Linked DNA regions of Mus musculus: regions 1, 3, 4, 5, 6 and 7 are each reported to be linked to region 2. Evidence: microRNA targets listed by miRTarBase, many of them from high-throughput screens and not tested one by one. Region 2 holds a microRNA gene; each other region holds the end of a gene's coding sequence.

Region 1 (4,304 bases), not on the chromosome of region 2:
GATGATGAACTGTGATATGCGAGCCTAAGCCTAATCAACCCTCTCCTCCCCAAGTTCCTTTGGTCATGGTGCTTCATCACAGCAACAGGAACCAAGGTAGTGAGTTCATGACCATCATAGTGGGGAGCATGGCAGCAGGCAGGCAGGCACGGTGTTGGGTTAGTAAATGAGAGCTTATATACTTTTTGGCAAGTAGGAGGCCCACAGAGAGAAGGGTAACTGGGCTTTTAAAATCTTAAAACCCACCTCCAGTGATACACCTCCTCCAATGAGGCCACACCTCCCAACCCTTCCCAAGTGGTTCTACCAACTGGGAACCATGCTTTCAAACGTATGAGTGTACGGTGGCTATTTTCATTCAAACAACAGGAAGAACAGAACCAAGTTAAAGCCACATCACAGAAGGTTTGAATATATTGTATAAGGTTCGTGGAGAATGGGACTTGAGGGTGATAGATGTTTGATGATAAAGGTATTAAAATTCCTAAGATTATACCAATCTACTTGTGCTAAAATTTGCAATTTTTTTCTTGTCCTTAAAAGTTTTGAGTCAGGGGGTCACTGTGTAACCATAGCTATCCTGGGACTGACTGAGTATCTGGTCCAGACCGACCCTGATCTTTCAGTGATTTGCTTGCTCTGACCCTTGAGTGCCTCCACAGCTGGCTCCATGGTACTCTCAATAGATTAAAAAAGTTGCAAACAGGTCAAATATTTATCGGTGAATGAATAAACAAATTGTTGAATATATACATGATAGAACACAGTCTAATTATGAAAGAAACAAAGTACACGATGCATGGATGAAAATCAGTCTCTCTCTGACTCTCTTCTCTCTGTCTCTCTCCAAGACAGGGTCTCTCTTCATAGTCCTACTGTCTTGGGACTCATTATGTAGTCTAGGCTGGCCTCTGCCTGGGTGCTGGGATTAAAGGCATGCACCACTGTGCCCTGCTCTGGATGAATCTTGAAGGTGGAAGAAAGTTAGACACAAAAAGTCACATATTGTATGATTTCACTTATATGAAATATTCAGAATAAATCCTCAGAGAGAGAACACAGACACCACCAATACAGACTTCACTTTGGAGTGATGGAACCACACAGAGTTGGCAGGTGTCCCACACTGTGACTGTATGGAATGTACCGGAAGGTTAATCGTGTGCATCTCACCTCAGACATTGCATCCCTATTTAGTCTAATTTAGTCCCTTCAAAAACTGGTTAAATCATAAATGGACACCCTAAAACTTATAAAAGGCGTGGCTTAATGACATCTGTTGTGCAGTCGTTATCTATGAGCATTCTGGCTCCAGCACCAGTGCTGATGGAGAAATGCAGTTTCCCCAGAGAAGTGTCTGAGCTAAAGTAGGAGCCGCTTTGCCTGGAGGATACAGATGATCTCCTGTGCCTCATGTGTGCACTGGCTGACAGTCCCCTGGTCTTCAGGCAGGACCAAATCTTCCACAGTTTGTCCTTCCATGCATCTCGGGGGTGTGTGAGGTGGTAGTTGTAATGCTGGCCTGCAGCTGAGATAAGATCTTGCTCAGTTTCTCACCTCACTCTGTTCCCCTCACTCAGCTGAGAAAGCAGCCCCAGCAGGCCATCTAAAAAGATGTCTTTAGGCTGTCTCAAGGAAACCTAATACAGAACAGCTATGGGAAAGCCAATAATGGTACATTTTTGAGTACGTGAAATCTATCTCACTACAGTTATTTACATAAAGAAAAATACCCACTGGCCAGAGAGTAGTTCCAAGGTAGGACACTTATTTAGCTAGCTCTTGAGGTCCTGGGTCCAGTGCTCAAAATTGCAACATACACATGCATGCAGGCATGCACACACACATGCATGCAGGCATGCACACACACTCCCAGATTATTAATCATTTACCATAACTATTGCTTTTCTTTTTAGGAAGAGTCTCACTTTATAGCTATGGATAGCCTGGAATTCACTCTGTAGACCAGACTGGACTTGAACTCCGAGGTCTACCTGCCTCTGCCTCCCGACTGCTGGGATTTAACAGTATGCTCCACTATGCTGGGTAACATGTTTTTATTTTTCTTCTAAAAATCTTATCTCATCTGCATAATGCATTTCGGAGAATCCCTGATGAGAAGTCAAAGTTGAACATGCAAGCATCACCTACTTAAAGGTGAAACACTTGTTTCTGAGATCTCAAATCTATACTTAATTAAAAAAAAACCCACAAACAATAAATTCTACTGAAATGCTCTCTATAGTCAACCAAGAGCTAATTTGGACTACAACATGGTAGCAGATCAAGGCAGTCTTCCTTCATCTGTGTGGCTTGTGTTTTTGTCTACTTCAGACTACAGAGCACAGACACTCAGTGTGGTGGCTTGAATGAAAATGGCTCCTGTTAGTTCAAGTTTGAGTGCTTGACCTGGTGGAACTATTGAGGAAGGATTAGGGGGAGTAGCTTGGCTGGGGGTCACTGGAGGTCACTGGGGATGGGCTCTGAGGACCACGTGTGACACCCTAGCCACTGCTCCAGCTCCATGCTTTCCTGCCTGCTGCCATGCTCCCCAGGGTGATGGTCCCAGACTCGCCCTCTGAAACTGTGAGCCCCATTAAACGCTTTCTTCTGTAAGTTGCCTTGGCCATGGCGTTTTGCTATGGCAATAGAAAGGTAACTGAGACCCTTAGTGTTTACGAAACTTTATCTTTATTGTAAAAAAAGGAGACAATATAAACAAAATAATGATAATGCAAATGATGCTCAAGACAATCGTGACATCATCTAGCAAGCTGCAGAGAAGCAGGGCAGCTCTTCCCTGCTGTCTGCTGCCACCCACAGAAGACGCAGTGCTTAACTCGCCCTAGAGAGGTGGAGGAAGGCTTTCTACCCTGAGATGGAGGCAGTTTTTGTTCACGTGGTGGGGAACAGTAAGGTGTGTGTATAAGCAGATATGGCTACACTTGTCTTCACTGCACTGCAATCGAGTCCTGCTGCTGTGCTCTCAACTGACCGAGAAGAGCTCCCAAAACAGTTGGTGCTAGAAAAGCAAATTTGGAATTAATGGTTGTCTGTCAAAAATATTGTTGACAGGGACAGAGGTGTCACAGATGGATTCCATAGGAACACATCGTCCTCAAGGGTTTGCATCATTCTCTCGGCAGAAGTGAAGGGACAGTCCCTGAGGTCAGTTTGGGAAGAAAGACAACAAACACCTAAATGTCTACTAAGAAGACATGAGCATGTTCACTGTTTCTGCACTATCAGGCTGCTGGGGTGGGGGTGGGGGTCGGGGTGTGTGTGTGAATGACACGGATCCCTCATCCTGATGCAGGAAGATGGTGGGTATCACGCCTGTCTAGTTTCTTTGTATTGACCTCATCATGTACCACAGAACAGTGGGTTTGCAGGAAGTTGAGCAGGGGTAGCCTAGAGATGTTCTCCAGAGATGTAGGGTGTTCCAAATGGCTCCCAATACCCCAACTCTGCCATGTGTGGATGTCCTCAGGTTAGGAAGGAGATGGGCTCTTGGTCGTGTCACTCTGCTCTTGGCCTGACGTATCCTCTTCTTTCTGCTCCAACTTGAAGTTCTGTGAACAAGGTCATAGGTGAAGCCTGACCCTGCATCTATCCAGTTATAGTCCTGAGGCAGCGAGGGGTTGCAAAGGCAGGCGAAACCCCATGTGCTAGGTTGTACTGCACATCTCTGAAGAAATCATCGCCCTTTTCTACCATACCTGAAATGGGGCCCGGCTTACCTCGAGCTCCTGTAAAACCTCGTCCATGAAGTCCTGGGAACTCTCTTTGTAAGCCACAGCTAATCGAATAGCATCATTGAAGAGCTGAGGGCGAGGCGGAAATGGCGGAAGTGTAGCTGTGGGGAGGACCCTGGACCCCAGCTTTATAACCAGCAGTCTCACCCCTCACCGGCCCCTCTCGTCACCCCGTCCCACAGGCAGTGGACTCCTCTGCTGCACCCAGCCACGCCCTGTCCTTGCCTCCCTACCCTCCTCTCCTCCCGGTGACTCCTAAGTCAGGTGTCAGCAGACTGCCTCAGGGCTGCCATTACCTTCACAACATTGGTACCATCAGCAGCCGAGACAAAGTACAGGGGCAGGGAGAACTTCTTGGCAAAACTGAAATTCTTTTGAGTCATCTGTATGTCTGCTGCAGAGAGAAGTGGGGCATTGGCTTGTCCACCCAGGCAATGGGAAGAGTTTGGAGGCAGGGTGAGAGGGGAAGGGACTGTCAGGGACTGCCCTTGACATGGGTAATATGGGTCTGTGTCTTGGGAAGACAGGGTCTCGCTGCTGGCCTCCCTA
Region 2 (4,304 bases):
TGGCTTTTTGCTTTTTTGTTTTGGTGGTTTGGTTCGGTTTGGGGTTTTTTTTTTTTTTTTTTTTTTTTTTTTTTTGGTTTTGTGTCTTAATTCTTTCAGGGTCATCGCCAGGATGCTTTTCCTCCGGCCAGGTGGAGCCAGCATCAGCGCCTGCCAGCAGCAATTCCCTTCAATAGCCGAGGAAGCACTTGGGGCTTGGCCAGGGAGGCCGCTCCTTGCTTGCGGGGCTGACTTTAGCCTCCACTACTCTCCCGCATCCATCTGCGTGTATATTATCCCCATCCCTTTTTATTCCAATAGATCCGCCTTTGGTTTGGACTGGCTGAAACGCGGCGGACTGCAACCAGGATCCTTTAAAGGAGAACAAAAAGATGAGGATATTGTGCGGGGGTTCCGGGACAAAGCGTCTTGGGACGCGCGGAACTCTGGCTCCCCGATTGGAGAGATCAACGCTGCCCAACAGTACCCGGCCGGACCTGCGGACCTCTGAGGTTATTCGGACTCAATTTTATTGATTTTTGTGGCATGCTTTAAAAGGGTCAGTGTTAGGTAAAGACTGTGTCCCCCAACCCTGTGGGGTGGGTGGGAAGCTGAACGGAACCGATCCAGTTAGATTTAACTTGTCCTCTATGCCCTCTACCTGGCTTTTTTGAGCCATTGGGAAGGAGAATGGGGAAGGCTTAGAAAAGAGAAAGGGGGGGGGGGGACGACTGCCTGAAAGGATAAGGCACTAGTAGGGAGTGGGATGGACCAGGTGAGGGAGGTCTGTGGGTTAGGAAGCACCTTCCTCACTCTGGTGCACTGGGTGGGTTTGTTCAGGGAATGGCAACGTGGGTGTCTGTTGAAAGCAGTCTTGTGAAATTGACATGTACATGCATAAGGTGACTGGACTTGTGTGTAAACAGAGTGATGGAGAGCAGAGAGGGAGGGGTCTTAAAATAATATTTTATTGTCCCTATGGATTTGGGGATCTCTCCCCCACCCCACCCAGCTACATTCTATAGGGGTGACCTTTTAAAATCTACACCCACCCTTTACCTCTGTAAAACCGGTTGACGGGTGGGGTGGGGGAACATGTAGGGGTGCGCGCTCTCTCTCTCTCTCTTTTCCCCCTCCCCCCTCCCAGTCTCCCTCCTCCCTCTGTCTCCCCCTCCCTCTCCCTTCACTCCTCCCTCTCTCGCTCTCCCTTCGCTCCCCCTCCTTCTCTGTCCCTCCCTGCTGCATTTTGCATGAGCTATCTAGGTCATTAGCATTTTAGCGTATGCAAGACTTGACAAGGCTGATGAGGGGCCAGATGGGCCTCGCTCTTATTTATTTATTTTTTTTTTCTTTTCCTTTTTCCCATCCACCACTTGGGACCTAAGCGAGAGGACCGCAGCAGGAGAGTTCCGGAAGGCTGATTCCCACAGATCCTGGTAAGGGACCGCAGCAGCTCTGCCCTGCGGCACGCCCGGCCAGGCTACACCCGGACCCTACACTCAAGGTAAAGGCGGCGGTCACAAGCCCTGCCCAGGCAGCAGTAGCTGGGCCCCTGCTTCCCATCCCTTTCCTCTCCGTCATCTCCCTCCTCCTGGCCCCCCTCAGTTTCCTAGGCGAAGCTGAGAGCGAACTGGGTGGGTAGGATTCGCTGCGGTGGGGCGAGGTGGGGTTGATGTTTTTTCATTGTCTGGAACTGCAGGGGAGGCGAAGCGCGAGGAGAGGAGTGAGGGAGTCGGGGTAATTAACACGGGGGAGGCACCCCTCCGTCTCCCACTTCCACCCACATCCCGAACCCTCCACCCCCCTCCCCTTTGCAGGAAAAAGCTTGGAAACGAAAGGATGCGGGAGAACAAAGAGCCTACGGAGGACGTGGCTGTTATCTCATTGTCTGTGACTGGGGGAGCTGCGGTAGGAAGGATGCGGTGGTCCTTAGCTCATCGCGTTCCCCAACCCCACACCCTCCCTGCTGTCAGTGCGCACGCACACGCACGCGTCGCCAGCTTTTTCTTTCTCATCTCTCATTTTTTTCATCTCATCTTCTCCCCATCCCCTCCCTTTCTTTCCACCTTTCCTTCCTTTCTTCCTCCCTTCCTTTCTCCCATCCTCCCTCTCTTCCATCCTTCCTTCCTTTCCATCCTTCCTTCTTTCTTTCCTTCCTTCCTTCTTTCTTTCCTTCCTTCCTTCTTCCTTCCTCAGGAGAAAGGCCTCTCTCTCCGTGTTCACAGCGGACCTTGATTTAAATGTCCATACAATTAAGGCACGCGGTGAATGCCAAGAATGGGGCTGTCTGAGCACCTTGGGTCCACGAGGGCCTGCCACGGAAGGATCGACCCAGCACAACGCCCTGGGCAGATCTCAGCGCTGCAGCTGCAGGCGCCCACAGTACGGGTAGCAGGCTTCTGAGTGCCTCGCAAAGTAGCCCTTAGGGTGGGGAGGTGTGCAGCTACCGACAGAGAGGGGTTTGTGCAGATGCAAATAGAATCTAGGAAGCAAACAACTCATTCTGTGACAGAAACACGGATCTATGCAAGCGGGGGGGTGGTGGTGGTGGTGGCGGCGGCGGCGGCGGCGGCAGAAAATAGCCTGGGGACGGCTGGAGAGTAAAATGTGCCCCTCAGCTCTGGGACCCTGCCCATTGTAGAAGGCCGACACCTTCATCCCTACCTGTCTTAGTTCCGGATTTCAATTTATTACCCTTAAACAAATAATAATAACCAAGTACCCATGCGACTGGCAGACTGCCCCAAAGCCTAGACTGCAGCTACCTTGTATTGTGCTTGGGGTTGCTGGGGTAGTCTTTAGGGGAAGCTGTTTGTCACCCGTTGGTGGAGAGCTGTGGGCATTTGACAAGCTTAAACAGATCTCTGGAGTGAGCGAAGGCGATCGGCAAATTTGTTCATGGACAGCGCACAGACTCCATCAAAACTGACAGCTAGCCCACTGCTCTAAAGCAGGGCCTCCCAGCCTCCTTGGGGCTGTGGCTGAAGTTTCAGGCAGAAATCCAGAAGCTACAGGAAAAGGAGGCGCAGCCCACCCCCAGCCCCCAGAGTGTGGGCCTCTCCCCATCGCTCTTAAAACCCCAAGACAGAAGGAAAATCAGCATGAGTAAGGTGGAGGCCTAAGGAAAGTCTGTTTTGAAGCAGGCTGTCCAGGAACAGAAAGGGTTAATCCTCCCTCATCCTGAAGCACCTGCTTCCCAAATCAGCCCCCAACAGCAGCAGCTGGTCCTGGAGGCCCCCGACACAGTTCCATCCCGTCTCCATCTCAGTGTTCCGCCAACCTGCAGTGGATGGATGATGGCCTGGTGGCCGACCTAAACTCATTAATTTTCAGGTGGAGTAAATGGAGGAGGGGCAGGACCCAGCAGCAGAGGGAGGGAAAGGAGGCCAAGAGCTGGCCTCCTCCCCCCCCCCACAACCCACCCCCAGGAAGCAGGCTGTAGCCCTCCCCCCTGCTGTCATGCCAGAGGCCTGCCTTTGCAAGGCCAAGCCCATGAAGGATGTTTAGGAGTTTAATCTGATTCCTAACACAGTAATCAGGGTCTAAAAGAGCATCCGTTGAAGTTAATGGAGGACTCTTGTCTCAAAAAGCCTCAGCCTCATCTAGTCTAGTAAATTAGTATTTGAGGGTATATCATAGATCAGTACCTCTCTGGCCTAGTTTCCTCAAGAGTATTCATTATTTCTTGAGTATCTACTATGTGTCCTTCTTTACGATGATTTCAACTTCTAAATTTCCTCACAGAAGAGAATGTTAGAGCTAGCCAGGCTGAGCTTCAATTTACCACATTCCACCTAGGCATTCCCAGAACCTTCTCCCGCTCTGCAGAAATAAGCCACCGCCTGCTTACTCTTGCAGGCAGAAAGCTGCAGTGCCCACACCCTGAGGGTGTCTCTGGCTGAGTCCTACCGGACAAGCCAGACTGCTTTCAAGGCAGAAAGGGAAAGACCCAGCCACAATGGCTGTCCTAAGAGACGCCATAGCCATTGCTTCGAGAAAATCTACCTCCCTTGAAATAAAAATTGGCCCTTTCCTGGGGTGCTCCCTCACTTCACAAATGGGTTAGAAGAGAACGGCTAGTGTGCTGTACCATTTTGGGGGTACACCCATTTGCCCCCCCCCCCCCGTGCTCATTGAGATGTTATTTTGCCTTCAAGCAATGGCCTAAGCAGATGATGGCCCAACCCCCCTGGACCACAAATATCCCCATTAGCAATCCTCTACTCAGTAATTGCTTCCCCATGATTCTTTCAAATGTCCCCTCGTCCTTCACCGATATTTCATCTTACGTAACCCCCAGATGCTTCCCCAAGTAAAGTCCTTTT
Region 3 (4,304 bases), not on the chromosome of region 2:
TCCTTTTATCACCCAAATTTTTAAAGAAATGCCAGTGACTCACTTGCAGCCAGTCATAAGAAACAGTTACCTCAACAATATGTATCAACACTGTATATAATTTAGTATATTTACATTTGATTATTCTTTAGGCTGGCTGAGACAGGAAAATGATACAAAACTACATTATTCCATGACTTACAGGCTTCAAAAGCAAAACAAAACAAAACAAAACAAAAAACAAACTTACAATGCTACTATTTCCCCACATGAAATGTCTTCCAAACTGATCATTTAACAACAAACCCTGGTTTGCCAGTAACGTATTTCACAGATCTTCTTAATACAGAAGCACATGGCCAATGCAATTAAGATATTTCCTACAAAGTCACTGCACATTTTCCTAATGGATCTTTGAAAAGCCGAGGAAACCCTTCCCATATCATTCTACCATCTGAGCCTGTAGACCTGCTGTTACACTCAAAGAGATAGTTCATTTATGGTATGAAAGTTCAAGTTTCTCCAATCCTAAAAATATTACATAAACTATTTAAGTACAAAGGAAAAGCCACTATAAAAGACTCAAATAGAATTTATCCAGCAATACTGCTAAAAAGAAAACCTGTCCAAAACAGGACTTTGAGTATGAAGAAGCAAGCTTGTGAATAATTCTAGTACCCATTTGGGCTACTCAGTGCTCTGTCTTGAGGTGGGTACTGGCTCAAGTGCAACTACTTCCTCACTTCCAAGTGGCACAAATATTTTCACTGAAATCACTGTATAAAAACATAATTCTTTTACAAGTTAAACAATTAGTATGTTCTTACTTCAAACTTTACTACAAAGTAATTTTACACTATCTCTAAAAGCATATGTGTATTCTGACGCTAGTGAAATACCAGAGTTAAATGAGCTATCTGAGGTATAAAAGTATGCATTTTTTCTGACTCTGAACTAGTCAGATTGGTATTCAAACAAAATGTCATCAAATGTTGCCATAAATGTGGCAGAATAAAAAGATTAAACACCAACTGAGTCTATGATGCAGAGAATCTCCCCCTCCCCAAGATTATGTAACTATGCCCTTCATTTCTTCTTACCCAGCAAATTATAAATAAAATGGCCATGCAGACAATGAATGGAGCTATAGAATCGATTCCTTAAGCCTTAACATTTACACAGCACAATGGAGATGAGACAATCTGAAAAGACGTCTGTTAGTACCTCGGGTAATAGAAGGTCTATCTGGATGTTTTCCTTTACCTTACTTAGTTTCTTTAGTCTGTGCACCAAAAAGCAATATAAATTCTACCCTTTTAAAAAATGTCTTTAATAAAACCAGAAATTAATACTAGTAAAACTAAGCATCTGCTTTAAAAAAAAAAAAACTTATTTAAAAAGCTGTGTTTAGATTAACATATCAGCTTGGTTAGATATTACCAGAACAATTTTCTTTTTCACTGTTACAAAATGGAATCCCAGAACAAAAAACAAAAGGGACTTAACTCCTTCTAAGAGTGAAGTCAACTCTCTTATTACAGTTTTTTTAAAAAAATTTATTTATTTTATTTGAGTACACTGTAGCTGTGTTCAGACCTAGCAGAAGAGGGCATTGCATCCCATTAGCGATGGTTGTGAGCCACCATGTGGAAATGAAACCAAATCCAAACCAAATCTATAGAGCTGTGCAATGCAAGGAGAAATGTATTACAAACTGTTTTTCAGAAGCCAGGGGAAAAGATTTTCTCCTTGAAGCTGAAATCCAACAAAGCTATTTCTAACCCTGCATTTTCAGCATGAGCTCTAAATTCTGAATCATCAGAGCCAAACTTGGCTAATACTACATATAAAGAACAAGCAAGATTTGGAGAACTCAGAATCTATTTCTCTCTTCCTCTCAGCAGCTGACCTTGAACTCAAGAGACCCACCTGCCAATAGAACTTGGAATCTGAAGTTTAAATGGTTTTATAATTCTCAGTCACTTAAAAAACTTAAAGCAGAACACATATGAGGTTAAAATAAAATCAATGTCTAAAACATAAAATCAAAATTGGCTGGAAGTAGGGTAGGGTGGATCTTTAATCCCAGCAGAGACAGGTGGATTTTTGTGAGTTCAGTCCAGTCTGGTCTAGATAGTGAGTTTTAGGAAAATCAGAAAACACAGCAAACAGAACAAATAAATTCTGCTATGGATATACAAGTAAAATTTACTTGCCTTGTTTGCAAGGGTGCAATACCAGAATGGTGTGTGTGTGTAAGGAAAGAAACATGTCTTCTTTTTTAAAAGAACAGTCTTTTAACATCAGGGTGAAAAGCCGAGGCATATCTGCCTATTTTATAAAGTATCTGTGTCCTTTTTTGGGTTTCCTCCATTGTCCACTTCACTAAATATAACTGTTGTATGCACACTACAACCTCTAGCCAAAGGCAGAGGCCAATTAATTTTTCTGACAATAAAAATGACACTTTTAAAAAGTTAACTCTACATATAAACACAGAACATTTGAGTTCTAAACAATAAAATTCTATACATTTGTTAATGCTTTGAAAAAACAAAACCAGACAAGTGAGGCAAGAAATGTATCTCAAAGGATTTTTTTCCAAAAATAGGATAGCATGAAGGAGACTTGGCCCAACCAGAGTCCCCTTCTCCCCTTCCAGGAGGCCTCCTTAATAGGGTCCAAAAAATGTTTTCCAAAACTGTGATGCTAGCTGACTATTTAGAAGACAGACAGTTTACATTGACCCTGGGCTGATTGCGTCAGTGGACTCAGTTCTCATTGAAGACTTTGGATTAGAACAGAAAACACTACAGTCACTTTAAAAAACATATTTTCACATTACAATTGGACAGCTGTCCCTCTATTATTTATTTAGATTAAATACATTTTGTTATAAAAAATCCAACTCAGTGTACACATTCTCAATATTTACAGACAGAGGCCCAGAAAGAGCACTGTAATGTCATTACTGCACACATGCTCACGATGCTCAGAAGCATGTCGTGAAAGCAGCTGGCTCTCACACACTGTATGGCTTCACTGCACAGTTGCTTCATTTCAAAACTCTATAAAGTAATATTCCGTGCTCACATTACTCATCCTATGGAGATTGCTCTCAAAAGGCAAGAAAAGAAAATATTTCACTATCCAAATGAATGCTGAAACTTGCAGTACAGTTATATTTTGGCACAGATAAAGAAAATCCTTGCTAGTTCATCAATATATGTTAATATTTTCTGTTAGAAGATAACCAATTGCACATAAATTCCAACTTGCATTTAAGAATCCAGAAAGGGGCAAGAAAATGGTTATTTTTAACATGCTGATGCTTTTCACACCCAGATTCAGCCACGCCAGTGGGGAGAGGTGTCAACTATGGCTTTACTCCTTTTGAATCTGAGAACTGTAGTCACTTCCATGACATTTCAAAAACTGGATCAAGAGTGATTCTTTTTATGATCCTGATTCTTCTAATTTTAAATCTCATTTAGGAAGCAACTTCTGCAAACTATGAAGGTTATCTGGATAGTCTGTAGCTGCTCTTACTTCTCTAGTGAACTGGAAGCAGAGATGGAGAGAAAAAAAACTGAACCAAAGCCATCCTTTCTCCTTGAAAATAGAGCGACTGAATATATGAGCCCCCCTCAGATATGAGATCCATTAGGGGGTCCTTTGCACCTAACTGTGTAAGGGTCCTTGGCTGTGGTGTGACTTGCACAAGAAGTACACAGAGACCCTGAAAGGCCCTTTAGTCCTCGCTGGAAAACACTGTTGGAGAGACTGTAAATGATACAGTTGCAGAAACTGTTACTAATAGCAAGCCAGGTAGTCAGGAAGGATGCAAGGCGGCTGCTGCAGCCAGTAGAACTCTCCAGCAAGAAGTAGATGATGTATGGCAACCAGAGGACATAAAACACACTGGTGATTCTGAATAGGACCATGGCATAGCGCTTATCTGGACAGGTCTGGGGTTCCCCAGTCTCCCCATTCTGGCTGCTGAATCGGGCTTGCCTTTCGCTGATTTCTTTTGTGTGCTGCTGGCAGATGCGGAAGATGTTGAAATACGTGAAGCAGACAATGAGGGCAGCTGGGGCGTACAGCATCATCACGATGAACAATGTGAAGTAGGAGTTGGTGTGCCAGGACTCTGCACACCACTGAAATACATCTCCATGATATCCGGGTTTACCCCAGTGGAAGAAGGAAGGCAGGAAGACCAGGGTGGAATACAGCCAAATCAGAAAAATACAGAGGCGTAGTCTCCAGGGAGTAACCAGGGTATTATAGGTTAAAGGCTTAGTGATGGCAATATATCTATCAAT
Region 4 (4,304 bases), not on the chromosome of region 2:
ATTTTATTTGGACCAGGGTTTATTTGCAAGACGACGACAGTTATTACTCACAGAAGGGCCACATTTATATTATGTTGATCCTGTCAACAAGGTCTTGAAAGGTGAAATCCCATGGTCACAAGAACTCCGACCAGAAGCCAAGAATTTTAAAACTTTCTTTGTCCACACGGTGAGTCTATCCCTATAAGGCATCTTACTGTAGCCTCATCATAGGCTTCTGCATCTCTGTTGTAAGTGGCCCTTGCTTTGGCCAAGGAAGCATCTAGGGTCAGGTCAGCTTCCTGAGTCCTAGAGACAGACCTATATGAACAACTTAGGCCTGAATTGGGCCAGAGATAGATTTCTGCTTGATGTTGGTTTCTGGTAGGTCACCTGCCCACATATTTTAGTTCTGCACTTGTAGAATGAAGAAGCCCACTGTGCCCACAGGCTTCAAAAAGGTGCTGGCAGCATTGACAGCAAGATAGGCTGGGTGGGGACTGGACTCCCTGAGGGACATCAGATGCTCTGTTTTGCAGCCTAACAGGACGTACTACCTGATGGATCCAAGCGGGAATGCTCACAAGTGGTGCAGAAAGATCCAGGAGGTTTGGAGGCAGCAGTACCAGAGCAATCCAGATGCTGCTGTGCAGTGACGTGGCCTGCGGCCGGGCTGCCTATTGCTGCCAGGATACCTGCCCCAGCGCGGCTCGGCCGCCACCCAGGACGCTTCCAGACCACCTGCCAGCCATCTCGTGGAGAACATAGATGGCAGAAATCTTGCAGCTTTTTTATTTAAAAGAAAAGAAAAAAAAGAACCCAACCACACAAAGAACAAAACAAATAGCCAACAAACAGGAATTCAGGGTCGCTTTGCTTGCTCTCTGTGCTCTGTGGTGGCTTCCATGCACTGCTGTGGCCATGGAGACCCAGCTCCTTGCACGGTAGCCCAGCTTTTGCCCAGACCAGTGGCCAGATTTGGCATCACCCGCCCCTCTTAGCATCCACAGGAACTGCATGCCTGCCTCTACCTTTCCCCACCTGATACACACAGCTCCTGCTGTGACTGAGGGACGGGGTGTATCTGGCCTACCCTAGTTGTTGCAGAATCCTTCCCCAGGAGCCCCTTCACTCCTGCTGGGGTAGTCACCAGCTTACTGTGGGTACAGGGCTCTTAGCTTGTATGTGTTCTCCCTTCCTTGAATCTCTTGTATGGCCCTAGAACTTTGGTCAGGTGTGTTTATGGTGACATGATTTCTGTGGTTCCTGCCTTACAGCAGGCAGGTTGTATGGTGAGAAGAATGAAGGCTGTTGTAGTTACAGGTGCTCTTACTGGGCTCTGCTCTAGTGTTCCACTTCCTAGAAGTTTATCCAGTGAACTAGACACTAAGCCAAGCACATGTCCAGGAGGGTTGCTGTCGCACTAGCACCTAGGTAACACCAACTAGATTATTATCAGGTACAGAATCCTGTCCTGAACCTGGGCAAGGCTGGAGGTACTGTAGAGAATCCAGCTTGGGCCACTGCTTCCATGTAGAGAAGTGGGACAGCAGGCCCTCCTTGGAGTTTCTGCACAGGTTTAGGTGAGTAGACCACATGCCCTATGAGGCAAGCACCGAGCAAACCCTAGGGTGTGCCTCACCTGCGATGCTGTGGGCAAACACTTCTCAGCTGGTCCATTTTTACAACGATTGAAAATCTAGAAGCCTTCTCATGTTGCCTGGTCACCTACTCCATAAAGTGTGGGCCTTGCCTGGAAAGGATGTTATCACTGTCCTGCTCACAGGAACAGCCCTCTTAATCTGAGCCTGCCTATGCTGGCATTCTTTGCCAGTAATGGGACACTTCTTTTGGCATTTCTTGCAGAGTGCTTTTGAGGGACTTGGCTGTACCTCTCTTTGACTAGGATATCCCTGAAAGTTGGCCCTTGGTGTCTAGTGGAGAAAAGTAGGCATCTCCCATCTGCTCACAGTAGCACCTCAGACTCCTATGTCCCAATGGCAGCAACAATTTTGCCATTTCTATTGACTTTCACATAGGCGCCCCCAAACACACACAACAACAGAGGTTACCCTGTTCTGTCTACTCTACAGTGACTACCTGTGGGCCAGGCCATCTAAACTGAGAGGGGGAAAGATTCTACTTCAAATCTTTAACAACAAGAGTGATTCTGTTCAGCTGGGGTAGAGTGAGGATGAAAAGTCAGCCACCACTCTGTGGCAGGGTTGCTGGGTGGGAACAGGGATTTTATTTAGACTCAGCTAGATCGTGTGAGAAGAGCTTCAGGTGAGCAAGGAGCAGGACCTCACTTGCCAGTAGAACCCACAGAACAGGTATGGCCTAGGATGCTGTCAGCCTGAGAGTGAAAGTGGGCACTCATTTCTCCTGGTTTTTGAAGAGCCTGTTAAGTACACTTGGCTATTTCCTCCTTGGAGTCCTGTTCTTGCTCACGCCTTGTGGCTATTTTGCCCTCAGAGTGCCCTGTATCCTACATTTGTACATGTAAGTAAGAGTGGCTTCCTGTCTCTCAGGTGCATGCAGACACAGGGAAAGCATCTTTGAGGGCATTTAACTACAGGGGAGCAGTGGACTGAGGCTTGGCTTGAATTAGACCACAAAGCTGGCTGTATATGGGAGAGTCCTTTGTTGCTTCCTTCCCTGGAGAGCAACACTACCTCCTGGGCTTTACCAAGCACCACCCTAACCTCTAAAATCAGAGTTCAGCTGAGCTATTAGTAGTGGGTGGTCACCATGACTGCCCAAGCTACAACAGCTGATCTCTTCCCAGGTCACCTTTGTCCTTACTGCCCCCTTTTCCTTGATTTTTTTTTCCTTTAATGAACCATGTACATTCATTTCTTAACCTGGCTTAAATCACCTTCATTTTTCCAGTCATCCTTAGAGCCGTCACCCTGTGTGAAGGTGCCTTACTTTGTAGGACAGGATGTGGATGTCAGTTTGTACAACTCGTGTGTGTGTGTGTGTGTGTGTGTGTGTGTGTGTGTGTGTGTGTGTGTGTGTGTGTGAAACAGTAAATTTGGGATGTATGTAAGGAGAGAGAGAAATACCCTGTTAGTACCTCTAGAAATCATGTGTCCTAGGAATGGCAAGGATGGAAAGAAAGTTGAAGACTGTTCTCTGGCTTCTCCTACCTAGGTACAGCAGACTGTAGTACCTCACAGCCCACTTGAGCCCTGGCTTCTCTCAGCATCACAGATGAAACTTAGCTTGAATGGGTCAATTCCACCTGTTTTTCTGTGCTCCAGCTGGGCAGTGGGCTCCCCATGTAGAGCTGAGCCTCTCCACTTCAGGGTGTGGCATCATGGCTCAGATGTCATTTTGAGCTAAAACCCAGTTAGATGCAGTAAAAAACCACTTTGAGAGATGGCTTGTGTTAGGCTGAAACTGATAGAAACGTTAACTGCTGCAGCTCTCTTTGGGCCACCCTAGTGTTTGTGATTCATGCTTGAAGTAACCTTGCCGACAGTTGTGTGGCACAGACTCCCAGTACCAGCAAGGGGGCCGTAGGTAATTGTGTGCTTTCTTAAAGAAGTGTATGTTTTCTGAAAGCAAAAGAATAAAGGAAGGCCCGTCATTCAGAGACCACTGTGAACATTTGGATGTAGATGCTGTTCTCCCTAACTCTTTGTTCCAGTGCTGGGAATTGAATAGTGAGGTTCAGGATTGCTAAGCGAGTGCTCTACCACTGATGTGCATCCTTAGTCCTTGTTTGCTTTCTAAACCAAACTGGGAACACATACAACATTCATCATTTTACATCCAGCTTTTTCACTTGACTTGTTTTCTCTTAAGCATTTCTCCATGCCGTGGCCGTGAGTAGTTCTTCAAAAGCATGTTTTTGATAATTGTGGAGTCAAGTGGTTGTAAATTTATAAGTTATGCAGTTGTTTCCCTGTTGTAAAACATTCAGATGGTTTTTGGTTTCCTTTGTGTTTTGTTTTTGTTTTTGCTATTTAAATAATGCTGTGGTGAATATACTTCTAAGTCTTTGATTTTTTATTCTGATTTTGCCCCTTCCTCACACACCTGAAGTGGTATTTTGGGTATTTTTTCCTCCTCCTCGGTCTGATGTTTAGACCCTCTGAGTTCCAGTTACAAACCTACCTTCCTTGTGTCCTACGGACTTTGAACACATCAGTTCTTGCTAAGTTGTGTGTTCTCAAGAAAGTTTGACTATGGCTGCTTTTGTTTTTAATGCTAAAAATGTCATTACTGCAGATTCCTTTGTGACAGATTTTTTTTCCAAAAGCCAGTCTTTTCATTTGCATTGCAAGAATCTGCTCCTGCATGTTACTTCTTTTCCA
Region 5 (4,304 bases), not on the chromosome of region 2:
ATCTCATGCCTCCCCCACCCCCTACCACATCTGAGGTCTAATTACTCTGGGCTTTCCACGCCACTTAACTGTATCTATTAAACAAAATTTACATATTATCTATCTACTGATCGGGAGGCTCTAAGGCTTTAAATTCTTTTAATTGCGCTTGATCAATAAAAAAACACAAGATACAAGTGGTAACACATGAATCATTAAACACAGTAAAAAGATACTTCGGAAGCATGAGACAATGGTGCCTCCTCTGAGTGACTCATAGCCCCTGGCTTCGGGTCAGCACTGCCGTCCTAGGAAGGAGCCAAGGCACAGTCGCCATGGTCTCCCTTTTACATTTCTTGTGGGGAGGGGTGCCAGTGAGCCCTGCTCACACAGGTCAGGAGACAGCTGAGACACTTCAGGATAGCAGCATAGCAGGGCTCTTCTTCATGGGCACATGTTAGAACATCTGTGTAACTTTGTTTTAAAATTCTCAGTGTTAAAAGTAAAAAAATCCACCAGGTATGGTGGCGCACACCTTTAATCCCAGCATTTGGGAGGCAGAGGCAGGCGGATTTCTGAGTTTGAGGCCAGCCTGGTCTACAAAATGAGTTCCAGGACAGCCAAAGCTACACAGGGGGACCCTGTCTCGGAAAACCATAATAAAATAAATAAAAATAAAAAGTAAAAAATCCACCAGATGTTCAGCCCATTCACAAAAGCAAAGGCCAGGAGCCACCATTTTGGGGTCTGGGTGTGGAAGGGCTTTTGTTCTGTTATCCGAGCTTTTCGAAGGTGACAATGCATCGGCTGCTTAGGTGAGTCTCAGAAAAGGAAGGGCACAACAGGAAGATAAGAGTCTGTAGGCAATACCTGGTCAGTGGCTTTAAGATCCCTGGCCATGGTGACTTTTATTTAGGTTGTAAGTTGGTCTGGAAACATATAAATGACTAGGTTTTGTTATGCAGCTTTGTTTAAAAAAAAAAAAAAAAAAAAAAAGAGCAGAATGTGTTGGGGTGGAGCTGGAGAGACCGGGGAAGTCAAGACTAGCTGGTCTTACAGAGGACCTGGGTTTGGACTCTTGTATCCACGTTGTATGGTTTACAACCACCTCTAACTCCAGCTCCAGGGAATCCAACGCCCTCTGCTGTCCTTTGTGGGTACTGCACCCATGTGCACACACTAACCCACAGACACACATATGCACACACCTAAAAATAAAATCTTTTAAAAGGATTTTTTTAATTGCCCTCAAACATTTTCTACAGTAGACTGGATGCACACATCATGCTAGGCTAGAGGATCCCAGGGTCACCTTAGGAAATGCAGGCCTCTACACCCTGTTTAATTACCACATACCTACACGTTGCAGCACACAAACTGTGCAACTTTGTTTACTGAAGTTTCTCGTGCCCGGTGACCTTTGCCACCTGGCTTTGTACTTTCTCATGTAACCAATGTCCCAAATAATACACAAAGGATGGTGGGCAAACCAGTGTGACATTGTAAGGGTCTCTGTGATTCATGAAGAATGATACCCCAGATGCAAAATAGTATGCAACCGCTAAAAGCGTTTATTCTTCAGAGAACCTGCATGCAAGGGTCCACCATGCATCAGAATGGAAGATAGAGGTGTGGCTTTTGCAGGGTCAATTTAAAGCCTGTTAGGGTAGGAGTGGGTGGCTTTTACCTTTCTTTCCCTTGGTTGGTTGGCTCTGTCTCCAGGGGTATGGATGCCCTTGTGATTGGTTAAGGCTCTGGGGGATTTTCGGGACTTTTGCTGGTTAACTATACTTGGCTCAAGCTAAGTGGTGGGGCAGCATCTACAGCTCCCGATTGGCTGCCCATGAGGGGTAGTTTTCCCTGGAATTGACTTGTTTTGGACTTTTTCAATTACGGGAAACAGAAAAGAAAGCCTAATCTCCCCCAACTGCCAGTTTGGAGCCTGCCATGGGGTCAACCTGGCTCTGGCTAATTCTGTCCTCTCACCAGGACACCATCCATGGTTGTTGTCACCAGTGCTGCTACTATCATTCACGGTGTCTAGACAAGGACACATGGCATCAGGACAGGCTCAAGGGATCCTTCTGTAAAGGAACTGACTCGGACCTTGACGTCAACCACCAAGAAACAAATCAGTGCATGACCCTATCAAGCTCAGGACAAAAGAACCTCACCAGTGCCCCCTAGTGATGGAGCAGGAAGAGACCGTTCTTCCCAGCTCACTGGTACAGCTGTCCTGCAGGGTACACCTCACTGTAAAAGAGATGCTTCCTGCTGCCTCCTACCCGCCATCTCTCACTTTCTTTGATACAGTAGCGAAGATACCCATTTTAAGCAATGAAGACGCCAGCCTTAGCAATTGGACTTTAAAACAGAGCAAGGTGGAGGGATGATGGGTGGGAGGATGGCAGCAGTCCAAGTTCTGCCGTGCACAGGTGACGACACAATACATTACCTGGTCCCAGCCAGTGGGAAGCTGCTACAGAGCCTGACATGTCCTTCCATGCAGGCTTCACACAGCCTTTTACCCAAGTCACCCACTTGGCAGGATTCCTTTCCTTCCTTGTCAATTACCAGAGGAAATACCAAGTTGGGAATCAGAGGAGTTACAAGCTAGCAATCCTCCTCTGGGTTCATGGTGGATGTAGCCCCTGGACCCAGTAACAAATGCTTTCTTCCAAGGACAGAAGACGCTATCTTGGAGGTTGGTCTATGATGGAGCTGTGCTCAGGGGACTTGGAAAATGGCGGGACAGGAGAGAGAGAGCTAGTTTTTAATCTTTTCTCCAGCAACACATACATTAAGGCCACCATTTTGGATCTCACCCAGAGGGGAGAGACCCCAGAGGGTTCCTGACCCCAGGTTCCACTCTGTTACAAAGCAGCTCACTGTTGGCTCCTCCCCCACCCACAGTCAGATCTCAGCTGTTCATAGCTACACCTGCTTTCCCAAGGCAATTCTCCATTCACTAAGAAGCCCTGAGTTTACTATTTGTCTGTCTTCTCCTTTAAGAGTTTTATAAAGCTGGAGACTTAGCTCAGTGGTAGCACAAGGGTCTGGAGTAGCCACAGGATTTCTGAAACACTCTAACATCAATTCCATCAGAGCTTAACTTGATGCACCCGAATGTTCGATAACCCAGGGAAATTTGCCTGTAAACCTACCTTTCAGCTGCCTCTTTGACCAGCAATGATGCTATTGGCTGTGGCCCCAGAGGATCTTGGCAGCAGCCTCCTACCAGACTCAAGAGGACCCTGGATGTGATGAGTCGGGGCAGATACAACAAGGACATGCAATAAGCTAGCACCCCAGCACTCCAATATCACTAGCCATGAGTCAAAGAAAAAATGTCTTAAGGGCAGACTCTATCTCCCATTTCTGCAGATTCCATGTAGCTTTGTCTAGACAACTGCTTTGCCAGTGGTAGCTAACACACATTGAGGTCAGCTCCTGACCAGCCTTTGGGGTTGTGTAGAATACAGTGGTGGCCTGAACTATAGAATCATTTGCCTCTTAGCTGAAATCTTTTTTTTTGGAATCTAATGAATTAGTTCCCCGTGTCTCAGCTCACCTTCCGGGGAAGTCAGTTACCTGGGTCACACAGGTAGAAGCTTGCTCACCACAGAGGAACTCCTGTTTACTGTACAGATCAGGTACAGAACGCTTAACGGCATGAAACTGTTGTCTTTATTCAATGAGGCTGAGAACAGGGAAGTTCAAAAGGCACACAGTTGGGGGGATCCTCTATCAGGGGTAGTATAAGTTAAGAAAGTTGTCCAAGGTGGAAAAATAGCAGGAAGGTCTCAACGCCTCCTGCCCACGGGGGCGTCTTCAGAACTGTCATCTCTATGGTGAGTGGCTCGGAGAGAGGACGATGAATGTCACAGATGAATCTCTTCCTGGGGGCTGTTTATAAGGCTCTCCCGTACCCAGATGCGCTCGTGAACACCGTGCGCATGCGCGCACGCACACACGGCTTCTAGGAGTAGAACCTGCTGTTGCTTACTCTCTTCTCTCTCAGCCTGAAATACAGGAGATTGAGTCCCATCAGTGGGTAACTCCCACCCTACCTCGCAGGTCACCTGTGGCTGAGTGGAGGAGGCTCTGGGCTCCTAGCATACCCCCTGAGCCTTGGGGAATGTCCACTTCCCCCTTGGTCCTTGGCAATGGCGGCTCTTTAAGGATCCAATGAGAACACACCTGGTGGGCGGAGCTTAGGCAGTGTTCTTTGAAGGTTAGTTCATTTGCTTAAGGTGTTAGGAAGCCTCTAGGTCGCTCCTAGAAGCTCCAAGACTTTAGGGGATTGGAGGGGACGTGGAGGGGTT
Region 6 (4,304 bases), not on the chromosome of region 2:
TATCCGCAAAGACCTGTATGCCAACAATGTCCTATCTGGAGGCACCACCATGTACCCTGGTATTGCCGATCGTATGCAAAAGGAAATCACTGCACTGGCTCCCAGCACCATGAAGATCAAGGTCAGGAACACTTGGAAGGGGGAGGCAAAGGCAGAACTTGGTACCCTAAAGCAAGCTTCCTTCCCAGCCTCCTTCTCCTGCATCTTAGCTTCCTATCCTCTAGACTTTTTCTACTTAGTGTTAGCACTATTCCTCATTTCTTTCTAGCACTCTCCACAGATACGGAACTTTAGGACTGCTTCTAAATAGTGAATAAAAGCAAATATCTGAAACACGGTGTGTGTGTGGGGGGGGGGGGAAGCAATAACTAAACCTATCTACACATTTAAAAGGTCCCCAGCGTTTGAACTATCCTTCATGAATATTATTCTTTAGTACAAATAAGCAGAGAAATGATGAAATACAGGAAGGATTGCAAAGCCTGATTGGCTACATTGCTTATTGTATAGCATCTCCTACGTTGTCTACTATCGGTTAATCTGTGATGGTTTTTCTGTGAATATTCCAAGCCTGTTGCCCACTTCATTGTTGGGGACTTCAGAACACACTGATGGTTTTGTTTTCTCTCTGCAGATTATTGCTCCCCCTGAGCGTAAATACTCTGTCTGGATTGGGGGCTCCATCCTGGCCTCTCTGTCCACCTTCCAGCAAATGTGGATCAGCAAGCAAGAGTATGATGAGGCAGGCCCATCCATTGTCCACCGCAAGTGCTTCTGAGATGTCTCTCTCTTAGCCTACCTTATATTCAGGATGACCGTATTGTGCTTCTTGGAATCCTCTGAGCCCCCTCCCCATCTCTCATCAGTCATTGTACAGTTTGTTTACACAAGTGCAGTTTGTTTGTGCTTCAAATATTTATTGCTTTATAAATAAACCAGACCAGGACTTGCAACCTACAAAAGCCTGTGTTCTTTCTTGTGTGAGTGGGCCTGGGATGGAGAAGGTGTTCACTCTGATACTCCGAGCATTACAATATTAGTGCAACACAAAGTTTACCCAATGAATTCATGTGGTGTTGAATTGAGCTAGGAGTTACAGAGGTACATCTTTTGGGATGGAGTTATGAATATTTTTGAATCTTATAAGCAAAGATTAGTTCTGTGGTTTAGTTGTTAGGTTTAGTTCTGTATAAGTAAGGAATGAAGATAGAAAACACAATTATCTACAACCAGTTGCCATGTTTGGTACTAAAGTTGCTTTAGCACATATCACATATTTTATAACTTTATAGAAAATACACATGATGGTAATAAGAGGGTCAAGGCTATTAAATGAGCTTATCTCTGTGTTTTCATTGTATTCCCAGTTGTCTGTTTTTTTTTTCACTTATTTTATTTTATTTTATCTTATCTTATTTTATGTGTATGAGTGTTTTGCCTGTATGTATATCTGTACATCATGTGCATGCCTGGAGCCTACAGTAAGAAGAGGGTATACGATCTGCTAGAACTGGATGGTTTTGAGCCACCATATAGGTGCTAGGAATCAAACCAGGTTCATCTATAGGGATATTAAGGATATTAGCCACTGAGACAGCTCTCCAGCCTGTAGTGTGACTCGAAGCCAATGAAAGCAATGAGAAGGTTGACTTGCCAGGTGTTGACTTGTCATACCGCATATATACTGGTAACCATCAGTTTTTTTTTTTAAACAAAACAAAACAAAAAACATTATATGGCTCATGAATTCACTATGACCAAAATTGAATTCCAAATCAAATGTAAAATTAATACAAGGTGTTTGCGATGGTTATTGCCTGTGTTGTATCACATGACTTCACTGCAACACTGGTTTTGAGTACATGCGTGTATTTCACATGCAGCATTATGTCACACCATGGGACAGCAACAAACCCTGCCTGGAACAGCTCAGATTCAAGGCTCCTGTGTTCTCTGCATGTAGTGTACAAAGTTCCCTGTTCATTTTCAAACGCAATTTAGTATTTTTTTTTTTACTGTTTTCAGCATGTGAGTATCAAGTTAGTACATTGTTAGTCAGTATTATGTTAGAATTTTGACTTTTAAAGTTGTTGCCTGAGCTGCTGATTTCAGTTATATTATTAAAAGGTATTAAAGGAAGAATATTTGGCCTGAGACTAGAACAGGATTTACAGAAATTTCCAAAATGGCCCTCACTGTACTTCTGCCATTTTGAACTATTTATTTATGAAAAGTGGAAGTGTCAGAACTAGTGATTACAAAAATCAAAACATAGATCAATTTGGGAAAATATTAAAGATAATCTGTGTCCTACAATATCAAATGCTCAGCCATGATTTAATTCTTCATGTATTAAGTCCAACTACCTCATTAGTATGCAAACTTACTTTCACCTTTTAAAACTGGTAAATTTAGATGCATGCCAAAGAACTATGTGAAAATAAATTCCTTGATGATTTATCTCTATGATTTTTGTTTCTACTTTACAAAGCTATATGCCTAGGATCAAAAACCCTTTTCCAGCTGAAAGGGGATCATAAGTAGAAGTTCTAAGGCTTTTCCTGGACAGATTTAGGAACACTGAGCATGAGTATGTTCAAAATAGAGCTGTAAAAGGTGTGAGGACCCAGGTTCAATCCCCAGCACTGACATGGCAGCTCACAGCTGTATATAACTCCAGGTCCAGGGGATCTGGCACCTTCACACATGCATGCAGACAATACAGCGAGGTACATAAAATCAAAATAAATGTATCTTTTTAAAAGGAAGAATTATAATTAGGTAGGATAATCAAGGAGGAAGTCCCAGCAGGAGGGAGTGTGGAGGAAGCTGAAGGACCAGACAGAAAGCAGCCAGGCAGGAGTTGGAGAATTTTAGGAAATCTAATTGGGAAAAGGAGGTTTCAACCTGATTGCACAATCTTGAAATTTCTTCATTTTCAAATTGTCTTGTGCATGAACTGTTGAATCTTGCAGAGTGTTTGATGGGCTTAATTAAATTTCATCTATCGAGAGAATCAAGATGGAGAAATTAAGCACCTGGTACAGTACCACACAGCTTGTCTGTGGAATACTTAAGACAGAATTCAGATGTTCTGACCAATAATGCAACAGGGCTTCCTTCTCAAAGCATATTTTCTAACTTTAGGCATAGTTTATCAAGGGTATCCCCATTCTATCATTCTCTGCCCTTCTGGAAGTCGGGTTCAAAATCGGGAGCACTTCAGGCTCATCAGACATCTTTAGTAAGCTGCCGCTGTCCTGACCATTCCAGGTCACCACTGTGTCTTTATGGCCATCAATTTAAGTGTCTCTTGATCCTTCACTCTGGGCCAGGTTCAGTAGAAGGGTCAAGAAAGGAAAGTTGAACCAAATCATGTTTTCTTTGCTTAGGGAACTCAGGGTTCTATATTTAGAATAAGCCAAGAAGAAGGTCTTGTTTGAAATAATGAGTAAACAGTAATCGGATTCAGTGGCCTTTTCTTTAGAAAAGGTATAAGCGTTGTTTTAGATCTTTTTCCCTTGGCAGTATCTTGTACCCTAAATGGGTTGTTTTGAAAGCTGGATCTCACAAGAAGACACATTTGGGCAATGCATATGGAGTACAATGCAGATACTCTCCGGGTCTTTTTCATCTCTCAGGTCAGGTGCATACATATTATAAATTTCATATCTAGATATTGTATTACTAGTTTAAGGTCTCATAGTTCACTTGGATTTAATTTCTTGGTATTTCTGTTTATGAGTGGATGTAAGATGTATATCATTTCTATTTAGAAGTAGAAGCTTTGAGAATTATTGTCTGACCTTTGTATCCAAAGCAGTAAACACACAGATTTACACTACAGTCTGGTTTTCTTATTAATACTTGAAAATTGGATGTAAGATACTAGGACAGATGAATCTTTCAAAAACTGTGCTAAAGAAAGGTACTAATTACGTTTTACAAAAGCCACCTTCGTGTGGGTAAAATGACTGATATGTTTACAGTAACATTTCATTAAAATGCTAAGTACAAAACTTTGTATTATTTATATTTTTCTTATATTATAATGAAAAGAAACATTGCTAATATTTTTCTTGTCTCCAAATACTATTTTTTAGTTTTGTGTGTGAGAAATGGATATTACTGTAGATGTGTTTATAAATATTCAAGAGAGCAGAATTAGAGAAAAGAGAAATTACTAAAGAAAGTATGTAGAGCCCTGAGGCTGATTTACTGTTTTAGGGCCTAAGTCAATGTTTCTGGGACTTTTGATCATTTATTCATTCCTTTTTTTTTTTTTTTTTCTTTCTTACATGAGG
Region 7 (4,304 bases), not on the chromosome of region 2:
TGCTCAACCTCTTCTCCAGCCCATCTCCTTTCTTAAAATTGTGAGTTATATTTTTATTTATGTATATGGTATGTTTCTGTGTGAGTGAAGGCCACATGTATGAAGTATTCTAGCATGCTAGACTACTCTTGAAAATAGATAGATGGATGGGCATACATGAAGAGCCATGCGATTGCTAAAGGAGTTGATAAGTTTGACTGGGAAAATCAGAGACACTATGGTAGGCCAAGTATTAACTAGACCTAGAAGGGTAAATGGGGTTGTCCTCGTTTGAATTCCCAAAGGCAATCTGGAGAGGAAATGCTTTATTTCAGCCCACCTGTTCTACCCCTTCACTGCAGGAAGCCAGGGCAGGAGCTCGAGGCAGGAAACTAGAGACAGGAACTGAGGCAGTGGCCCCGAGGAGATCTGTGTCCTTTGTGCTTGCTAAGCCAGCTTGCTCATACAACCAGGAACCACCTGTGCAGGCATGGCACTGCCCACGCAGGCTGGACCCGCCCACAGCAGATTGGACCCGCCCACGGCAGGTTGGACCCGCCCATATGAATCATCAATCAAGATCTCATGCACAGGCCAGTCTGGTAGAGGCAATTCTTTTTTTTTTTTTTTTTTTTTTTTTTTTTTTTTTTTTTTTTTTTTTCTTTTTTGGTTTTTCGAGACAGGGTTTCTCTGTGTAGCCCTGGCTGTCCTGGAACTCACTTTGTAGACCAGGCTGGCCTCGAAATCAGAAATCCACCTGCCTCTGCCTCCCAAGTGCTGGGGTTAAAGGCGTGTGCGTGCTGGCTGAGGCAATTCTTTGAGGTTCTCTCTTCCCAAGTATGTCAAGTTGACAACTAAGATTAGCCATCACAGGGGCTTTTAGAACTGACAAAGAAGAGAGAAAAAATTTGCCAGAAGATAGGAAAACAAAAATCAGGAGTGTGCGGGGGCTCAAGCATTCTCATGCATCTGGAACATATACAGGTTTTGTAGGAGAGCTTAAATTCCTAAACTGTCACACAGCTGAGTTTTTCTAGGAAGCAACCTAGTAGTAAACACAAGCCTTAAAAGTCCACCACTTCACCTTGCTAATTCCAGTGCTGAGAATCTACCTGCTGGAGGGCTGACGTGATGGCTGGCACACAAAGCACAGCTTAGATAAAAGGAGCGCATCTAACATGATAGAGAAATAAACATAGTCAAACTGATCAATAGGTGAGCGTTCACTTATGAAGCAAGTGAACAAAATTAGTCTGTGGTGATGAGTCACGACGGGCCCGGAGCTCTTCACTGCGTGAAAGAACATTCTTGATAAAACGTGAATAGGGAACAGAAGCACAAACCCAGCACTGTAGTGGGCGGTTCTTATGCTAAGGTCCTGTTCCCCAATTGTTTCTTTCTTTTTTTTTTTTTTTTTTTTTAGATTTATTTATTTATTATATGTAAGTACACTGTAGCTGTCTTCAGACACTCCAGAAGAGGGAGTCAGATCTTACAGATGATTGTGAGCCACCATGTGGTTGCTGGGATTTGAACTCCGGACCTTCGGAAGAGCAGTCTTACCCACTGAGCCATCTCACCAACCCCCCAGTTGGTTCTTAATCTGTCTGTCTTAGTCAGGGTTTCTATTCCTGCACAAACATCATGACCAAGAAGCAAGCTGGGGAGGAAAGGGTTTATTCGGCTTACACTTCCATACTGCTGTTGATCACCAAAGTATGCAGGACTGGAACTCAAGCAGGTCAGGAAGCAAGAGCTGATGCAGAGGGCATGGAGGGATGTTCTTTACTGGCTTGCTTCCCCTGGCTTGCTCAGCCTGCTCTCTTATAGAACCAAGACTACCAGCCCAGAGATGGCACCATCCACAAGGGGCCTTTCCCCCTTGATCACTAATTGAGAAAATGCCTTACAGCTGGATTTCATGGAGGCGTTTCCTCAACTGAAGCTCCTTTCTCTGTGGTAACTCCAGCTGTGTCAAGTTGACACAAAACTAGCCAGTACACTGTCAGTAAAGAAAGCCATGGACCAATTGTTGAGTGGAAGGGACAGGCAGAACTTCCAGATCCTGGGAGGCAGGCAGAGAGACACAGGAAGGAGAAGGAGTTTTCCATGTTTTGGAGGGGAGAACTGGGCAACCATGTGAGATCTCAAAATGGAGTGGCCACACAGGCAGCTCCTCCAGGCGGGTGGTCAGGGATGTTTGGCAGGAGGGCAGGTGGGAGGAGAGACTGATGAGGGCATGCTTTTCCAGGCCAGTGACACCCAGCAATTAATTGTGTCTTAAGGCAGGTTGAAAAGGAGGAACAACTGTGTGTCTGTGTCTTTTATCTGATGATTCAAGGGAAGCTGCATGGTCATCTCCTGGAGCAAAGATGGATAGAACGTAAAACTACACACAACACAGTTTAGCCTCGGGGCTCTCCCACAGACACGCAATAGACACACAACAGACACTCATGAATAAGGGACTGGAGAAAGATCAGACCTGTGAAGGGGTTATTTTCTTCTTCTTCTTCCCATGTTTCCATTCCCTGTTGTGTAAGTTCTCACTTGTGTGACTACAGGAAGGAGGAACCAGATAACCGGCTCAGAGCTTTAGAAAACCTTTGGTTCTTCCAGAGGACCCAGGTTTGAGTCCTGGCACCCACATGGTAGAGCACAACCAATGTAACTCCAGTTTTGGGGGGAATCCGATGCCCTCTTTGACCTCTGCAGGCACTGGGCACACATGTGACACACACAGATGCATGCAGGAAAAACATTCATACACACATTTTTATGTCTTTTTAAAAATTTTTTTAATTAAAATAAATCAGGAAGAGTGGGGTGTAGTTCAGTGGTGAAGCAGCACTCTGAATGCATGAGGACCTTGGGTTCCCCCCACACTGCCCAGAAGGAAGGTGTGTAGAGACTCAGCACTAAACTCATTCTTGTACTCCTTTTTATTAAATTACAAAACCACCCGATGTCAGTACATACTCTGATAGAGAGGAAACAAAATACCCTTTTCTCAAGTCTCTGCCTTTGTGGAATATGTGGTTCCAGACAACGGACAAACACTCTAAAATCTTGGCCTCCGAGCTACGCAGAATTGATAGGCAGACACACTCCCGAGGGTCGCTGTCCTATGTACAGTCAGAATTTGTGGAAAATACTACAGACAATGCCCTGAAAAGGTGGCATGGTGCAGGGGCAGTCACAGCTGCTAAACTGGTATAAAAATTTAGTCAAAATAAAGTTTTAGTCCATTATGGGTTTGCATGAAGCGTCAGGGAGGGAGGCAAACGTGAGACACATTTTGTCAAAGGCACTTAGAGAGTCGTGATAAAATACTTCTGAACTTAGTCTGAGACGGAGTCCTTTTTTTTTTTTTTTTTTTAACTCCCTCTTCACATCTGCTTCACACTGAAGCTGTGCAGGAAGGCAGCCACGAGTGAGGAAAGATAGTTATTGCTCGATATACATATTAAAAAATACAGAGAGGTTAATACAGATCTTGGTCCACACCAAAGCAAGTAACAGTTATCAGACTGTTTCTCTTCATTCAAGAAAGTCAGAATCAACTTCACTCCAGTCCCACAAACAGAGCCTTCAGTTGATAACTCATGCCATCTGTTGCCTGGGTCCCCACCGTATCTCTGCAGTGCGTTTTAACTGGAGAAGATCTCCAGGTGGCCTCGCAGGAGTCCACGCATACAAGCTCTATAACTCCGTGTCTCGGTACCGGGAGGGCTGGCTGTAGTAACCACGCTTCGAGTGTGCTGCCAACTGCTGGCGGTACTCCTCCTCCTCGGGGTCACTGCCGTAGCTTCCTCTGGTGTCCTGGTAAAGTCTGGAAGGAGCTTTCTGGGGCTCTGGGGGTCTAGAACTAAAAAAAAAAAAAAGAGGCTATCAAACACAGCGAATATCATCTAGATGCCCACGGGGGTCACTGAAGCTATGAACCCAGCAGGGCTGATTGTTTCCTTGTTTCCTAACCCCTGAGCACATATGACCACCAGGAAGGGCACTGCTGGCCCCTCTTCTGGCTCACAGGGTGATAAGGGAAGAGATACGATATGGGTCAAGGCCATGGCCTATTTGGTCAGCTACCTGTTGTCTGAACTAACACAGGAAGATGTATTCTCCTAGGTGCTCCACTACAGGCCCCCCCCCCCCCAGCAAAGAGTTCTCTTCAGTGTCAATCACTTGTACCTCTGTCAGTGTCAGCTTGCCATTCAGAGCCATCTACGTGCCTCTTACTTTTTCAGTGCTTTAAACAAGAGTCCAGCTTCCTGAAGCAGGAAATCATAACTCAACTCCAGATCACCACAGAAAGACACTGA

What was found. The annotated mature microRNA mmu-miR-124-3p reads UAAGGCACGCGGUGAAUGCC and lies in region 2 at 2,233-2,252, shown strand. An mRNA with a match to its seed (bases 2 to 7 or 8) in the 3' UTR can be bound and repressed. Matches are read on the target gene's strand: a 7mer-m8 pairs with bases 2 to 8, a 7mer-A1 pairs with bases 2 to 7 and ends in A, and an 8mer does both.
Region 1: miRTarBase lists Rabl2 as a target of mmu-miR-124-3p. The part of its 3' UTR that is shown has no 7-base or 8-base seed match.
Region 3: the mRNA of Gpr21 is a reported target of mmu-miR-124-3p. The part of its 3' UTR that is shown has no 7-base or 8-base seed match.
Region 4: the mRNA of Pdpk1 is a reported target of mmu-miR-124-3p. Seed matches in the 3' UTR shown: 7mer-A1 at 1,247-1,253 and 8mer at 2,902-2,909.
Region 5: the mRNA of Plcg2 is a reported target of mmu-miR-124-3p. Seed matches in the 3' UTR shown: 7mer-m8 at 3,700-3,706.
Region 6: the mRNA of Actc1 is a reported target of mmu-miR-124-3p. The part of its 3' UTR that is shown has no 7-base or 8-base seed match.
Region 7: the mRNA of Tjp2 is a reported target of mmu-miR-124-3p. Seed matches in the 3' UTR shown: 7mer-m8 at 3,284-3,290.

What each region holds. Positions count from the first base shown.
Region 1 is chr15:89,579,859-89,584,162 of GRCm38, forward strand. It overlaps Rabl2 (RAB, member RAS oncogene family-like 2), which reads right to left. Exons shown (of 9, transcript NM_026817.3): 7 at 4,052-4,149; 8 at 3,741-3,824; 9 at 2,669-3,572. The coding sequence ends at 3,492. Among named protein-coding and RNA genes, the nearest start is that of Rabl2, 9.9 kb to the right of the region's middle.
Region 2 is chr14:64,588,477-64,592,780 of GRCm38, forward strand. It overlaps Mir124a-1 (microRNA 124a-1), which reads left to right and starts at 2,181; the gene lies at 2,181-2,265. It overlaps Mir124a-1hg (Mir124-1 host gene (non-protein coding)), which reads left to right. Exons shown (of 4, transcript NR_040709.1): 2 at 301-491; 3 at 1,365-1,483; 4 at 1,797-4,304. It overlaps Mir3078 (microRNA 3078), which reads left to right and starts at 2,709; the gene lies at 2,709-2,795.
Region 3 is chr2:37,517,816-37,522,119 of GRCm38, reverse strand. It overlaps Gpr21 (G protein-coupled receptor 21), which reads right to left. Exons shown (of 2, transcript NM_177383.4): 2 at 2,839-4,304. The coding sequence ends at 3,627. The region is part of intron 13 of Rabgap1 (RAB GTPase activating protein 1); the gene reads right to left. Among named protein-coding and RNA genes, the nearest start is that of Gpr21, 3.3 kb to the right of the region's middle.
Region 4 is chr17:24,075,357-24,079,660 of GRCm38, reverse strand. It overlaps Pdpk1 (3-phosphoinositide dependent protein kinase 1), which reads left to right. Exons shown (of 14, transcript NM_011062.4): 13 at 17-169; 14 at 519-4,304. The coding sequence ends at 635. Among named protein-coding and RNA genes, the nearest start is that of Kctd5, 4.0 kb to the right of the region's middle.
Region 5 is chr8:117,634,482-117,638,785 of GRCm38, reverse strand. It overlaps Plcg2 (phospholipase C, gamma 2), which reads right to left. Exons shown (of 33, transcript NM_172285.2): 33 at 3,644-4,001. The coding sequence ends at 3,959. Among named protein-coding and RNA genes, the nearest start is that of Sdr42e1, 37 kb to the left of the region's middle.
Region 6 is chr2:114,043,940-114,048,243 of GRCm38, reverse strand. Actc1 (actin, alpha, cardiac muscle 1) reads left to right here. Exons shown (of 7, transcript NM_009608.4): 6 at 1-121; 7 at 635-962. The coding sequence ends at 778. Among named protein-coding and RNA genes, the nearest start is that of Actc1, 6.8 kb to the left of the region's middle.
Region 7 is chr19:24,091,744-24,096,047 of GRCm38, forward strand. It overlaps Tjp2 (tight junction protein 2), which reads right to left. Exons shown (of 24, transcript NM_001376368.1): 24 at 2,753-3,847. The coding sequence ends at 3,682. Among named protein-coding and RNA genes, the nearest start is that of Gm41824, 13 kb to the left of the region's middle.